Arabidopsis thaliana: one gene and its partner. The protein of the gene in region 1 interacts with the protein of each later gene in a pairwise test. Each region holds a gene or a part of one and is shown on either strand. Other genes may lie near its edges. The genes, in order: GLR1.3 and RLP19.

Region 1 (8,377 bases):
GGAGAGAGAGTATGCATTTTATGGTGGACCATTTCCATGAGAACAACGTTCATGTACAGTCCAAGGTTGCTTTTAGTGTCACTTCGAGTGAGGATTCTTTGATGGATCGATTACGGGAGCTTAAGGACTTGGGAACAACTGTCTTTGTTGTTCACTTGTCTGAAGTTATTGCAACTCGTCTCTTCCCATGTGCTGAGAAATTAGGGATGATGGGTGAAGGGTTTGCTTGGATTCTTACTTCCAGAAGCATGAGCAGTTTTCATGATCAGTTCATTGACGATTTAACAAAGGAGGCAATGGAAGGTGTGGTTGGTTTCAAGTCTTATATACCAATGTCAAAAGAGCTTCACAACTTCACTTTGAGATGGAGAAAAACACTCCCTGTTGAAGAAGTTACTGGGAGTGAGATTACTCGGTTGAGTATCTCTGGCGTATGGGCTCATGATGTCGCTTGGAGTCTGGCGAGTGCAGCTGAAGTGACAAGGATGCCAACTGTGACATCAACTCTCCTTGAGGCCATAAAAGAAAGCAGGTTTAAGGGTCTGAGTGGTAACTTTCAGTTGGATGATATGAAGTTGTTATCAGACAAGTTTGAGATTGTGAATATGATAGGATCAGGTGAGAGAAGGGTAGGATTCTGGAATTCTAATGGTAGTTTCAGCAATAGAAGACAATTATCTTCTACTCATGACAATCTGGAGACCATAATTTGGCCCGGTGGGTCTGCTCAAAGTCCGAAAGGGAGAAGTCTAAGAGAGAGCGGTAGAAAAAAGCTTAGGGTTCTTGTTACATCTAGCAATAGATTCCCAAGACTGATGAAAGTGGAGACTGATCCAATAACACATGAGATAACAATTGTCGAAGGGTTCTGTATAGAAGTCTTTCAGGCATCCATTGCACCTTTCAACTATGAAGTGGAGTACATACGTTGGCTCAATGGAACTAACTACACCAAGCTTGCATATGCACTTCATAGCCAGGTACTAAGCATGGCTCGATTTTACAATTGCAAGTACTTTTAAAATTTGCGTAGACTGTGTGTGGGAACTGACTTAATTCCATTGATAATTTTTGTTGCATCCCTTAGAAAGACAAATATGATGCTGCTGTGGGAGATATTACAATTACTTCCGATAGATCGATGTATGTTGATTTTACGTTGCCATACACTGAAATGGGTCTTGGAATTGTAGCAGCAAAGGAGAGAAGTATGTGGGTGTTCTTCCAACCTCTAACACCAAACCTTTGGATAACAAGTGCAGCTTTCTTTGTCTTGACGGGTATTATAGTTTGGTTGATAGAAAGAGCTGAGAACAAAGAGTTCCAAGGATCTTGGCCTCAACAGATTGGAGTTGTGATTTGGTTTGGCTTCTCTACCCTTGTTTATGCTCATCGTAAGTACCTTTTCACATTCTTATATACCAATTTGGCCATAAGAGAAGAGATTGTAGTGATGCTTACCTTTTGTTGCTTACTCTGTGTGACAGGGGAGAAGCTACAACACAACTTATCAAGATTTGTAGTTACAGTTTGGGTATTTGCGGTGCTCATATTGGTTACAAGTTACACTGCAACATTGACATCAATGATGACGGTGCAACAAATACGATTCAACGCCAATGAAGATTATGTGGGTCACCTCTCGGGATCCCTCATCGCAAATGCGGCCCTCACCAATTCCAGCCTCAGAGCAATGAGATTATTGGGTCTCAATACTTCAGAAGATTATGCTCAAGCTTTGATGAATAAAAGTGTCTCATATATTGTTAGTGAGTTGCCATACCTGAAAATCCTCCTTGGCGAGAATCCTGGACATTTTCTCATGGTCAAGACACAATCTACCACCAATGGTTTTGGCTTCGTATGTATCCTTCTTCTGCATCATCAGTTGCTTTACTCTTGATTTTACTTGTTGAAAAAGAAATGTTTGGTTTGTTATACTATGTTCCAGATGTTCCAGAAGGGGTCCGAGTTGGCGCCTAATGTGTCCCGGGAGATTGCGAAGCTGAGGACAAGCGAGAGGCTAAACGAGATGGAGAGAAGATGGTTTGATAAACAGCTTCCATACACAACCGATGATACATCAAATCCTATAACCCTATATAGATTCCGTGGTTTGTTTATGATCACCGGAGTTTCATTCGCTTTCGCTCTTGCAGTACTTCTCATTCTTTGGCTCCGAGAAAGATGGGAAATCCTTGTGAATTCGGTCAATATATACTTCTCACAACGACTTAGACATTTCAGGATCCTCTTCACAAGAACTATCCATCCTAGTCCCCTCGGCCTCGATAACCCCATTGGCGAGAATGCGGTTCAAATGGCTCAACGTAACAGACGATAGGAAATGAGTAACATAGAGAGAAAACAATTGTTGTGATGTGGTACGTCTCTGACTCTGACCTTGGAGCAGCAAAGAAGATCCTCCAGTGATCCACTAGCTCCTGATCCAAGCCGGCTTACGTCTGAAAGTATAAATGATTGTTATACCAATTTTGTAAATTATAGTGTGATCATATTCGCAACCACTTTTGTAAATAGCAAAAAGGTATTGGTAATATATTGAGTTAAAATTTAACACATTTAGTTTGAGTATTTTTTGGAGAATATGATACTTTTGCAAAGAAAAAAATACTTTAATTCTTCATTTTATAAACCTTAAAAAATGTACCAAACTTTAATCAGTATGTAAAAGACTCGTGCATTTCGTTTGTTGGTATTTGTGTTTAATTTCTTCCATCAATTTATTTGAGATGAGACGACTTTCACCATTTTTCTCTGCTTCTAGATTTATATCTTTGACTGTCTAAATTGTCAAATCCCTTACACTAAGTACTTTTGTTGATTTGTTCTTGTCAACACAAGTTAATACAACCCCAACAAATATGGAGTTTTTAACCAAAAAAAAAACAAATATGGAGTTCTACGTGTAAAAATTTCAGATTAAAACACATTTGTTCCTACGACCGTTGACAAATGTTTTTTTTTTTTTAAGACAAATGATTTTTTTCTTTTGCTAAAATTGGTTAGTTGACAAAATTTTATCCTATAGAATCCTTTTCGAATTTATTCCGTATTTTTACCTTTTTACTTTCTTCACCAAACATTTTGATAGATTTAGTCAGATTCTCTTAAATAATGAAATGATTTGAGAGACAAAAGAGTAGCCAAACTCGATAGCCCATACCGAATTTTACGTTGACTAATGTAATTTTTCTTAAAATCATGATGTCATCATCTTAAACTTTGAATTTTTCTTCAAATATAGTACGTATGTTAATTTTTAAAATTGGAATAATTAGACAGATGAAAAACAAAACACGGCATGGGTTTATATAACAACAAAATAAAATAATGACTAAAAGCAGCAAACGTGGGGTTTCTCCTTTCTCTCTAGTTGGAAAGTTTTTTTAATGGAGAGATTTTGTATTCAAACCCAAACTTTGCTATCGTTTCTTCTTGTTTTGCTTCTCTTCATCTCCAGGTCTTTTGCTTCTACTAAAAACGACGACGTTGATGGAGGTAAACGGGTTCAGATCCGGGTCGGGTTGGTTTTGGATTTGGGTTCCTTGAAAGGGAAGATAGTGAAAAACTCTGTTTCCATGGCTCTTTCCTATTTCTACGCTATTCATAATGATTACAAAACAAGAGTCTCTGTTTCACTCAGAAACTCTCATGGAGAGCCTCTTCTTGCTCTTGCTTCTGGTAAAAACACTTCTTCTCTACAAAAACTCTCTTCTTCTCTGTCTCCATTCACACTCACAATCTTGGTTTTCTATCTCTTGTGAATGAAACAGCTGTAGATCTTCTGAAAACTGAAGGAGTAGAAGCGATTATTGGCGGGAACTCGTTGTTAGAAGCGAAGCTTTTAGGGGAACTTGGAGAGAAAGCTAGGGTTCCTATGATTTCACTTGACTCTCCGTTTTCATTGTCATTAAGCAAATACACTCACTTGATCCAAGCCACACATGATTCTACCTCTGAGGCAAAGGGGATTACATCTTTTATTAATGTGTTTGATTGGAACAGTGTTGCTCTTGTTTATGAAGATCATGATGACTGGAGAGAGAGTATGCAACTTTTGGTGGAGCATTTTCATGAGAACGGTGTTCGTGTACAGTCCAAGGTTGGTTTTACTGTCTCTTCTAGTGAGGATTTTGTGATGGGTCGGTTACAGCAGCTGAAGGACTTGGGGACTACTGTCTTTGTTGTTCACTTGTCTGAAGTTATTGCAACTCATTTATTCCCATGTGCTCGGAGATTAGGGTTGATGGGTGATGGGTTTGTTTGGATCCTGACTGCTAAAACTATGAACAGCTTCCATGAGAACATTGATGATTTCACAAAGCAGGCAATGGAAGGTGTGGTTGGTTTCAAGTCTTACATTCCAATGTCTATAGAGCTTCAAAATTTCACTTTGAGATGGAGAAAATCATTGCCTGTTGAAGAAGCGGAGCTAACTCGGTTGAGTATCTCTGGCATATGGGCTCACGATATCGCTTTTGCTCTGGCGAGAGCAGCAGAAGTTATAAGGATGCCAAATGTGACATCAACTCTCCTTGAGGAAATCACAAAGACTAGGTTTAACGGTTTGAGTGGTGATTTCCAACTAAATGATAAGAAGTTGTTATCAAACAAGTTTGAGATTATCAATATGATAGGATCAAGTGAGAGAAGAGTAGGATTCTTGAACTCTAACGGTAGTTTTAGTAATAGAAGACATTTATCTTCTACTCATAACAAGCTTGAGACCATAATCTGGCCAGGTGGGTCTGCTCAAAGTCCGAAAGGGACTAGTCTAATAGATAGCGATAGAAAAAAGCTGAGGGTCTTGGTTACATCTAGCAATAGATTCCCAAGACTGATGAAAGTGGAGACTGATCCAGTAACAAATGAATTAATTGTTGAAGGGTTCTGTATAGAAGTCTTTCGCGCTTCGATTAGTCCTTTCAACTATGAAGTTGAGTATATACCTTGGCTCAATGGAAGTAACTACGACAATCTTGCATATGCACTTCATAGCCAGGTACTAACCATGTCTTACTTAAGTGTTTTATATTATAACAAGTATTTTTTTTTTTTTAATTGTTTTGTGTTGCATCCCACAGAAAGACAAATATGATGCGGCCGTGGGAGATATTACAATCACTTCGAATAGATCGACGTATGTTGACTTTACGTTGCCATTCACTGAAATGGGTCTTGGAATTGTAGCAGTAAAAGAGAGAAGTATGTGGGTGTTCTTCCAACCTTTAACACCAGATCTTTGGATAACAAGTGCATTTTTTTTTGTCTTGACCGGAGTTATAGTTTGGTTGATAGAAAGAGCTGAGAACAAAGAGTTCCAAGGATCTTGGCCACAACAGATTGGAGTTGTGCTTTGGTTTGGCTTCTCTACCCTTGTCTATGCTCATAGTAAGTACTCACCTTTTCACATTTATATATGCCAATCTTGTTCAGAAAAGATTGTAGTGATCATGCTTACCTTTTGCTGCTTATACTATGTGTGACAGGGGAAAAGCTAAAACACAACTTATCAAGATTTGTTGTTACAGTTTGGGTATTTGCAGTGCTCATACTGACTGCAAGTTACACTGCAACATTGACATCAATGATGACGGTACAACAGATACGATTTAACTCCAACGAAGACTACGTGGGTCACCTTTCCGGCTCCCTCATTGCAAATGTGGCTCTCACTAGTTCCAGCCTCCGAGCAATGAGATCATTGGGTCTTAATAGTGCTGCAGATTATGCTCAAGCCTTGTTGAACAAGACTGTTTCATTTGTTGTTGATGAGTTGCCATACCTCAAAGTTGTCCTTGGCGAGAATCCAACACATTTTTTCATGGTCAAGACACAATCTACCACCAACGGTTTCGGCTTTGTATGTATCCTTCTTCTTCATCGTCATAAGCTTCTTTACTCTTTCTTTACTTTTGACTTGCTGACATAAGAACATGTTTGGTTTGTTATTGTTATACTATGTTTTAGATGTTTCAAAAGGGCTTCGAGTTGGTGCCTAATGTGTCCCGAGAAATCTCAAAGCTAAGGACGAGCGAGAAGCTAAATGAGATGGAGAAAAGATGGTTTGATAATCAACTTCCATACACAACCGATGATACATCAAATCCTATTACTCTTTACAGATTCCGCGGTTTGTTTATAATCATCGGTGTTTCATTCGCTTTCGCTCTTGCGGTACTTGTCATTCTCTGTCTCCGCGACAAATGGGAAATTCTTGTGGACAATCTAGACCTCTCACAACGACTTAGACATTTCAGGATCCACTTTGTAAGATCTATACATACTAGTCCCCTTGATGACCCCATTGGCGAAACTGCGGTTCAAATGGCTCAACAAAATAGACAATAGGAACTGATTAGGGTTAGATCAAAAGGTCCACAAACAATCTTTACTTGTAAATGACTTACATATCAAAGTATAAATGCTGTTTAGACCAAATCCTTGCTTGTAAATTGTATGATCAAATTCAAAACCACCTTTATATAGTTGGTTCATATATGATTAGTGTCTTTCAAATGGTATGGTTCTCAAAAAAAAAAAAAAAAACAATTAAGGTGGAACCAACCGAATCAATTTTTTTTTTTTTGTCACAAGAGTGTCCATTTTGTTATATCAACATAAGCCAAAGTTTGAGACAAACAACAGAGCCAAATTCAACTAAACATAAGTGTAAGACTTTTCAAGCCCAACTATGAAGCCCAAGTAGGAAACCGCATCAGGAAGAAAGAAGAATCATTGAAACAGAACCTAAAACACGTGTCATGAAAAGGTTAGGTGCTGAAGACACGTGAGAAGAAGAAGATCGGAGAATCACTGGTCGCCGCCGAAGAAGATTGTCGACTCCATTGAAACCCAGAACGCCGCGATATGCATGTTGAATCCGGTGATAGCAATTGTCAATTCCAAAGCTCTAAAAACAAATCTTCAACTTCATGGAAATTCAACTTCAAAATCTTCCCAATTAAACGTCAACGGTTCACGAACTCAAGCATCATATTCATCAATCTTATGTTGGAGAGAATTGTGTTTAGGCAAAGACGAATCACCTAAAACCACAACACTAACATAGATCGCATAATTTATTCAACAGAAAAAACAAAAAGCGGCAACAGATAGCCGAAACAAAGCCGGACCTCGCCGGAGACAAAGCTGAACCATACCAGAGACAAAACTAGTAAACAAACCGGATGGAGAAACAAAGATCGTGTTCCTCTCTCTGAATAATTGAAGAGAGAGAAGAGAGAGAAATTGATCTTTTCCCCTTCCAACCGAATCAATCTAATATCCGGTTTATTGACATTAGTTCCAAAATCAAAATCAAACCTAGTAAGAAATCCGAAATGCCGGTCAGTTGTGGGCTTTCAGTTTGGGCTGGGCTAATAAAATTAATGAGCCCATAAGCTTTTTCAAAGAGAAGAAAGGAGAAGAGAGAAACCCTAATCTCTATTCTCTCCCAATCTTATATATAATCTCTCTTCTTTCTCTTCTTCTACAACGCCTTTCTCTCATGTCTCTAAATTAGCTACTCTTTCAAAATTTTGCAGCTTAAACGAATCGTAAAGTACTCCTTTGTTGTTTTTTTGGGTCTGTAGTTTTTTTTTTTTTAAAGCAAGTCTCAGCTTCTTTGATTGGGTCAAGATATTCACGATCCAATCAATTTTATGAAAATCATAACTTGCGAAATAGAAATCGGCAGTATCACTCGCCTGGATCTGATTATAATCATGATTATCCAGGCCCTTAATCTACTGGCACAATCTTTTGAAATTAGATTTTGTTGTTGTTGTTTTGGGCAAACGCACTCTGTCCCAAGACCATTAATTCCATGTTTTGGTGCAATTTCTTCGTTTGCTAAATTGATCTGTACTCCAATTTTAATCATGTCCTCGGGATTATTCTCTGTGATCCCTATATGGGCACATGATTGGTTTACTATACTTTGATTCTTTCGATACCAAATAGTTTTACATAAATCGTTTTTTAGGAGTTAGTTTGTTATTTGAATTGATATGTTTATATCTTTGCAGAAGAATAAATCTTATCTGGTGTACGATTTATGTGATACAGTCACCAAGGACGGTAATTGTTTTCGGATTTAGGTTTAATGAACGGCTTAGGATTAAACTTGAAACATCTAATGAATCTTTGAATAGATTATGTGAGAACATGCCTTGAAGAACATTTGATTTTGACCTTTCGAACGAATAACTTATATATCCAAAAAAATTACTCAATTCGTATATCCCGTAATTTCCCAATCTGAAGATTATAACCAAAATCAAGAGGCACGTATCTAAGACTAAATGTGTCATAACTCACTGAAATTGTTGTTGAAGAAGAACAGAAGATA
Region 2 (8,943 bases), on another chromosome or scaffold:
ATCTCAGTTTGGTTGAATTCTCCTTTGAGGTTGTAGGAATCTATTAGTAGAGAACAAAAACAAATGTATCATAATTAGAGTAACACAATGAATGAAAAATCAACTAAGTTCAAAAATGTTCACCTTCTCCTTTACCCACTGTGAGAACTTTTTTGCATGTGTCTTCCATAAAAACGTTTCATTTTTCATACATCTGGCATCAGTAGCTTGGAGTTCTTCTAAATGCAAGTTGTGATCAGTTTTACACAATAGTTTAGAATATAAGTTAATGACAGTCAAATAATTAATGACAGAAAATAATTTAGAATCACTTACTTAACATATGGATCCATAACGGCCATGTTCATTAGAACATATCTATGAGCTATGTCTCGCTCTTTACTCGTAAGAGTTACTTGTGTAGCTTTATGCAGTGGTCTGCCTTCAAGTACAAGTGAATTACTATCAACACCTTCATTGCGGTTAACGACTTCTGGAACTGATAATGAGTTTTGTAGAAACTTTAAGCAAAAAGCCATACATTCTCCAGCTAAATATCCCTCAGCCATACAAGCTTCAAGCGTTGCAAAATTCTTCACATAAGCCTTTAGAGTTTTCATGTACCTGCAAGTTAATAAGATTAGATCAATATCCAAATTTTATATAAGTAATTAACTTAATAGAAAAAGTTATAGACAATACCTTTCAAAGGGATACATCCATCTAAAGTGGACTGGTCCACCTAAGCGAGCCTCTCTAGCCAAATGAATTGGTAGATGAAACATGATGTCAAAAAGAGATGGAGGAAACTACCTCTCCAGCTGGCACATAGTCTCAACTAATTCATACTCCAATGAGATTAGCTTCTCAGGGTCAATGACCCGCTGACACAGCCTGTTGAAGTAGTGGCCTAATCTACTTATAGCGACTCTAGGTCTTTTTGGCAGCAATCCTCTCAAAGCAACAGGTAACAAGTTCTGAAGGAGCACATGATGATCATGAGACTTCAAACCACCAATGACTGGTGGATCCACAGAAACACAGTTAGAGATATTGGCACAATATCCATCCGGCCCTCTAAACCTAGCCAGCCTTTTGCAGAATCTCTTTTTCTCATCCTTAGATAACCAAAATGCCGCATGAAGTAAGTATGTCCTCTTCCCTCTTAACTGAATGTGCAAGTTACTACGAATTCCCATATCTTCCAAGTTTTTGCGTGCATTCAAGCCATCCTTTGATTTAGCAGATTGCATCAACGTAGACACAATGACGTCAGACACATTCTTCTCCACATGCATCACATCAATGTTGTGACGGACAGGGAGGTCCTACAATACAAACAATAAGTAGTTAGGGCCAATCAAGATAAAATTCAAGATAAAATTCAAAAGGTGAAGTATTTACCTTCCAATAAGGTAATTCAAAAAGAATTGATCGCTTCTTCCATCTCCATTGATGTGTGTCTTCACCATATTCATCATCTTCACATAAATCTGATCTCTTTCTTTTGTTGTTTCTCTCCAAGGGTCTTCCAAAATCATTTTTGAAATCCTATAATGTTTCAAATAGTTCTTCTCCAGTTTGAATTCTACTAGTTTTCCCTTCTTCTACAGTGTTGTCAAACCAGCCTCTTCTACGCCTGTAAGGATGCCCTGGTCTGAGTCGTTTTCTATTGCTTAAATACACATGTTTTCTATTGAACTTCAACCACCTAAAAGGTGTATCTTTCCCACAGACATTACAAGTTTGTTTTCCTTTCACCTTACAACCAGCCAATGTCCCTAAAGTTGGATAGTCATTGATACTCCACAACAACATAGCTCTAAGAGTGAAATTTTCCTTAAAGAATGAGTCATAAACCTGAATACCATCACTCGACAAATCCTTTAAGTCATTTATCAATGGAGCTAGATAGACATCAATGTTATTGCTTGGTGCTTTAGGTCCATGTATCAAAAGAGTTAACATAATATTTTTTGCCTTCATACACATTGTTGGAGCCATGTTGTAGTTAACTAGCAAAACTGGCCAGGTACTATACTTAGTGTTCTGAATAGAGAACGGATTCATCTTATCAGTTGAAAGTCCCAGTCTAAGGTTTCTTGATTCAGCAGCAAACTGTGGCCATTTATCATTCACTTGAGCCCAAGCTAAAGAGTCTATTGGATGTCGCATTGTACCATCAACACTAGCATTGCTAAAATGCCACTGTAAGTCCTCAACCATTTTCTTGGATCTAAACATTCGCTTGAATCTATCTTTGATGGAAAAATACCAAAGTACCTTAGCTGGAATCCCCTTCTTCTCTTCACCAGTGTGTTTATCCCTTTTCCATCTGGAAGCACTGCATCCAAGACAAGTATCCCTCAGCTCATACTCCTTTTTGTATAAGATGCAATCATTCGGACATGCGTGAATGATATCATACCCAAAACCAAACATCTTCAAGAATTTTTTGATTTCATTTGTTGAAGTTGGAAGCACATTCTCTCCTGGTAAGATGTCGTGCACTAAACTCAAAAGTTGATCAAAGTAATTTTCTGACATCCCACTCTTTACTTTAATGCGGTAAAGCCCCATAATTGCAGACACCTTTGTGTACTTGGGACACCCATAATATAATGGAGTTTCAACATCCTTCAACTTCTCTCTAAAGTAAGATTCTTCTTTTGTAACTGGCTCCTTACTATCCTCTTCTCCATCAAAATAAGCTGTTCTTATCAGCTCATAAGCTCCAAATTCACTACTAGGCTCAGCTTCTAACTTATCAGCCCATATCTCCCCATGCTTACTCCAACATCCATTTCTCTTGTATTTATGATTCATTCCCTTAATAACTAGATGCTCCAAAACAGTATCAATTGGTTGATGACACAGATTCCAGCAATCCATACATGGACAAAACATTTCAGAAGGATCTCCCAAAAGTCTCGATGCGTAAACAAAAGTTGTTGCTCCTTTCTCGTACTCAATGCTATTCCTTGGCAGCTATACCCAAGTCTTATCCATTTTTAAAACACCAACAAGCTCCAACCCCATATATATGATAATATTTATATATATATTAGTTAACAGAGATACAAGATCAAAGACACAAAGAGAAATTTCAAAAACTCAAATTCACTACAAGTGAATGCAAGCTATCAAAGCTATATGAAACTCAATTCTATAATAAACTCAAAGCTACATGCAAACTAAGAACCACATAAATAAACTCAATTCGATACAAGTGAATCACATAAATAGTCAAGTTCAATTCGATACAAGTGAATAGTCACAAAAATAGTCAAGTTCTAATCGATACAAGTGAATACAAGCTATCAAAGCTGTTTGAAACTCAATTCGATACAAATGAATGCTCACTATCAAAGCTATATGAAACTCAATTCGATACATGAGAATAGTATAAGTTCAAAGCTATATGAAACTCAAAATTGGTATATGAACCACATAAATCGATCTCAAATAAACATACATGTCAAAAAGAAGCCATTGAAATCTTCGAGAAACGGATAGCGAAAGCCCCAATTCGAAACCCGTAAATCTCAGAAACCCGAAAATCAAACCCTAAATGTGATTAAAACCCCAAATCGAAACTCAAACAAGACAAATTTCACAATGCAAACCCTAAATCGATTACAAAAGAAACATAACCTTCTCAAATTAGAACCAGATCTGTGACTGAGAAGCTGAAGAGTACCAACCTGAAGAGTCCATAAAATTTGATGTTTTGGGTTTTTCACACAAATTAAAAAAAGTAACTTTTGTATTATTTATATTATTTTTTTTGTAAATTTAATATCATAAGTTTTACTTCTCTCCACTCTATTTGTTATTATTAAAAATAATAATAATATTAACTTACATCAATTTTTATGGAACAAAAAAAAAAAAACCAAAATATCAAATTTTATGGAACAGAAGGAGTAGTTAATAATAATGTCGATCGGACTATCCCTGTCTTGTTTTAATGCTACAAGGACCTTTGGAAAAATAAAATGTGGTAGAGATTTCAGATGGCTCTTTGATATGGTGGAAATTTCAAATGGCTCTTTAATGTGGTGGAGATTTAAGATAGCTCTTTAACTTAATGTGATGAAAAATATAATATTTGGATCATTATACCACCAAAGTCCACACACGAGTTCTCTATTTTTGTTTCATCCTCTTTTAGTCGCTGGTTTGGCCTCAATGAATAATGTAGTGGAGACTTTTACACAATGCGTACAACGTGAAGAAGACTTGGTAGAAATACTGGTTTAATTTATCTCTATTTTGTATATAAAGACATGAATATGAAACCATGTTATCATCACAATCTCCTTTTCTTGCTTTTTCATTATTGATATTCAAGAAACTAAGAAAAAGAAGAAAAACAACACTTCGAAAAAATGATGAAAGGCTATATTACTCTTTCTTTTCTTATCATTCTCATTTTTAATTTCCTTGACGAGTTTGCGGCTTCTACTAGACACTTGTGTGATCCTGATCAAAGTGATGCAATTCTCGAATTCAAGAACGAGTTTGAGACTTTGGAGGAATCTTGTTTTGACAGCAATATTCCTCTGAAGACGGAGTCATGGACGAATAACAGTGATTGTTGTTATTGGGATGGTATCAAATGTGATGCCAAGTTCGGGGATGTGATCGAGCTAGATCTTAGCTTTAGTTGCCTCCGTGGCCAGCTCAATTCCAATAGTAGTCTTTTTAGGCTTCCACAACTTCGTTTTCTAACCACTCTTGACCTTTCTAATAATGATTTTATTGGTCAAATCCCATCTTCACTTGAAACCCTCTCTAATCTCACCACTCTAGACCTTTCTAGAAATCATTTCAGTGGTAGAATTCCTTCTTCGATTGGAAACCTTTCTCATCTCATATTTGTTGACTTCTCTCATAACAATTTTAGTGGTCAAATCCCATCTTCACTTGGATATCTTTCGCATCTCACCTCTTTTAACCTTTCTTATAACAATTTTAGTGGTAGGGTTCCTTCTTCAATTGGAAATCTCTCTTATCTCACCACTTTGCGCCTCTCTCGTAATAGTTTTTTTGGTGAACTTCCATCTTCACTTGGAAGTCTTTTCCATCTCACCGATTTGATCCTCGATACTAACCATTTTGTTGGTAAAATTCCGTCTTCACTTGGAAATCTTTCGCATCTCACCTCTATCGACCTCCACAAAAATAATTTTGTTGGCGAAATACCATTTTCACTTGGAAATCTTTCTTGTCTCACCTCTTTTATCCTCTCTGATAACAACATTGTTGGTGAAATTCCATCTTCTTTTGGCAATTTGAACCAGTTGGACATCTTAAATGTTAAGTCCAATAAGCTTAGTGGCAGCTTCCCAATTGCACTACTAAATCTAAGAAAACTGTCAACATTATCTCTCTTTAACAATCGGTTAACCGGAACACTTCCTTCTAACATGAGTTCACTCTCCAACTTGAAGTTGTTTGACGCAACGGAAAACCATTTCACGGGACCTCTCCCTTCTTCCCTTTTCAACATTCCCTCTTTGAAAACTATTACTTTGGAAAATAACCAACTTAACGGTAGTCTTGGGTTTGGGAATATATCCTCATACTCGAATTTAACTGTGTTACGCCTTGGGAATAACAACTTTAGAGGGCCAATCCATAGATCTATATCCAAATTAGTCAACCTTAAGGAACTTGACCTTTCAAACTACAACACCCAAGGGTTAGTTGACTTTACCATCTTCTCGCATCTCAAGTCTATCGAATACCTTAACCTCTCCCATTTGAACACCACTACTACGATTGACATGTACGAGATCTTATCAAGTTTCAAGTTATTGGATACACTAGATCTCTCAGGCAGCCATGTTTCTACTACAAACAAGAGTTCACTTTCTAATTCTTCATTGGTATTGATAAGTCAGTTGTACTTGTCGGGATGCGGTATCACCGAGTTTCCAAAGTTCCTAAGATCCCAAGAGCTTATGCTGACTCTAGACATTTCCAACAACAAGATCAAAGGTCAAGTGCCTGGATGGTTATGGATGCTCCCTGTTTTGAACTACGTGAATCTTTCCAACAACACTTTCATCGGTTTCGAAAGATCAACGAAACTTGGACTCACCTCTATCCAAGAACCACCAGCTATGAGGCAATTGTTTTGCTCCAACAACAATTTCACGGGAAACATTCCATCTTTCATATGTGAGTTGCCTTATCTCAGCACTCTCGATTTTTCTAACAACAAATTCAATGGTTCAATTCCTACTTGTATGGGAAATATTCAGTCTCCATATCTTCAAGCTCTAAATCTTCGACATAATCGTCTTAGTGGACTTCTTCCAGAGAATATATTTGAGAGTCTAATTTCTCTTGACGTCGGCCATAACCAACTAGTGGGAAAGCTTCCAAGATCGTTAAGTCATATCTCTTCCCTTGGACTTCTGAATGTGGAGAGCAACAAAATCAGTGATACGTTTCCTTTATGGTTGAGTTCTCTACAAGAGCTACAAGTTCTTGTCCTTCGCTCCAATGCATTTTATGGACCAATAGAGAAAACACAGTTTTCTAAGCTGCGAATCATTGACATATCCGGTAATCAATTCAATGGTACGTTGCCAGCAAATTTCTTTGTCAACTGGACTGCAATGTTTTCACTGGACGAAAATGAAGATCAATCTAACGGAGAGACCATGAGCAACATGTACATGAGTACAGATTATTTCTACTTTGATTCAATGGTTTTGATGAATAAAGGAGTAGAGATGGAGCTGGAACGTGTCCTAAAAGTCTTCACAGTGATTGACTTTTCGGGAAACAAATTTGAAGGAGAGATTCCAAAGTCCATTGGTTTATTGAAAGAGCTTCATGTTCTTAACTTATCAAACAATGCTTTAAGTGGCCACATCGCATCATCTATGGGGAACCTCATGGCACTTGAGTCACTGGACGTTTCCCAAAACAAGCTTTCAGGAGAAATTCCACAAGAGTTAGGGAAACTCACGTACCTTGCATACATGAACTTCTCTCATAACCAGCTGGTAGGTCTATTACCAGGAGGTACTCAATTTCAAACACAGAAGTGCTCTTCTTTCGAGGACAATCATGGCCTTTATGGCCCTTCGCTTGAGAAAATTTGTGATATCCATGGGAAAACACCGCAACAATCTGACATGGCGCCAGAGCCAGAAGAAGATGAAGAAGAGGTGATAAGTTGGATAGCAGCTGTTATAGGATTCATACTTGGTACTGCCTTGGGATTGACATTTGGATGCATATTGTTTTCCTACAAACCAGATTGGTTCAAGAATCCTTTCGTCCGAGACAAACGCAGAAACATAGGCACCATAACTCATTAGAGAGGTAATGATCTTGATTTTGAAAGAATAAAGACTATATATTGTACTAAAATTTTCTGGATATATGAACTAACGTATAATCTTTCTTTGTTATTCTTTGACCCAAGTTGGAGAATTTTACACGAAGTAAACAAAGGAACAAAACCGGAAGAAACTTGGGAGGAAAGCAATCTAATTTTAAATAATCATTTTTTCTGTCTCCTCCTCCCCCCCCATTGTTATGTCTATGTCCATTTTTAAATACAATGTAAAAATGAATAGTATCATAAAAAAATTGTTGAATACAATATAATTTGTACTTGTTTTTTTTTTTTTTTCGCATGTCTACTTACAAAACCAAAACTGAATTTAAAACTTCAATTAACTAATTTTTATAAATATAGTTGTGAAATAAACGGGCATACTCCGGATTCTCTGCTAGTAGTTCTAAAAGAAAACTAAAAAGCTAGTGTAATCCTCCTTTGAAGCCTAACTATAGAAGAAAAAAAAAGTAAATTAAAGCTAAGGAAATAGGTCTAGTTATACAAATATATATATATATATATATATATATATGTATATATATTTTAAAAGGTTGAAGATCCCTAAGGAAGAAAAGAATGAAAATAGAAAATTGAAGAGAAATTAATCCAAAAGATAATTTGGTTAATAAGAGCCATTTGAGAGTGCTAAGTTGAAATTTTGGTAATTCTTAGGATGCTTCATTATTGGAAGGGACAATAGGCAAACTTGATCTAGGAAGGAGAGAACATGAAAATGTGACCATTGTATGCATAAATTGTACCGCGGTCTTCAGCTATTTTGCATAATGTCAAGAATACTTTTTCTTAAGATCCAAGAGCCATCTTTCTCACCTCTAGACCACTCTCTATCTTTGACCCAATAAATTTGTGGTTTATACATCCAGTATGATTTCACAAGAATACCTAGCTAATTGAATGACAAGGAGTTTGTATACATGGATCTCTAAGTTGAGTGGAAAATGAAATTGTGGTAAATGTGAATAAATTGGTTCTTGCATTATATTACTATTTTGATTTCTTTTTTGGTTATAAGATCCTCTTTCAAACCTTTTCTCTTGGGTGTTTTGTTTGTTTGAGGACAAGCAAAAGACAAGTTCTTGGGAATTGATATGATGATATTTTGGTGTTCTTAAACTCCTTTTCTTGATAGTTTTTGGGTCTTAATTCATTATGATCACTTGTAAAAATGCATTTAACATGTAGTTTAAGGTAATTTTGCATTCAGAGTCCTAGAATTCACTTGGTGTTTATTTAGGTACAAAAGAAGGCAAATGGATCTAAAGAGACAAAAGGACGTTTTGGATCACAAAATATTTGGCTTGAATCATATTGGGTTTAAAGAATTGCTAGAAGATTTATGAGAAGTGCCGAGCAAAGCTCAACCATTTGAAAAACCACTTGGATTATATTTTGTTCTTAGGGTTAGTAATTAAGGAATATATCATCAGGGTTGGATTTGTGGCTAGGATTTGATTGGAAATTACCAAATTATGCTTTTGCACTAAAACATTTTATGTCGTCATCTGTTCCAAACTATTGACCATATTATGGATAGGTGATGTCATATTCATCTCAAGCACCTCCTTAATTTTGTACTT

What was found.
Region 2: the proteins of GLR1.3 (region 1) and RLP19 interact in a protein complementation assay, tested with the Arabidopsis thaliana proteins (one large-scale study listed by BioGRID).

Annotation. Positions count from the first base shown.
Region 1 is NC_003076.8:19,616,903-19,625,279, forward strand, and holds GLR1.3 (glutamate receptor 1.3), read left to right. Parts: upstream 1-3,364; 5' UTR 3,365-3,413; coding exon 3,414-3,705; intron 3,706-3,797; coding exon 3,798-5,026; intron 5,027-5,108; coding exon 5,109-5,415; intron 5,416-5,513; coding exon 5,514-5,887; coding exon of another isoform or gene 5,888-5,956; exon of another isoform or gene 5,957-5,994; coding exon 5,995-6,375; 3' UTR 6,376-6,523; downstream 6,524-8,377. Other genes in the region: ATGLR1.2 (Glutamate receptor family protein), read left to right, coding at 1-980, 1,088-1,394, 1,488-1,861, 1,952-2,344.
Region 2 is NC_003071.7:6,529,394-6,538,336, forward strand, and holds RLP19 (receptor like protein 19), read left to right. Parts: upstream 1-3,867; 5' UTR 3,868-4,370; coding exon 4,371-7,322; 3' UTR 7,323-7,326; exon of another isoform or gene 7,327-7,429; 3' UTR 7,430-7,609; downstream 7,610-8,943.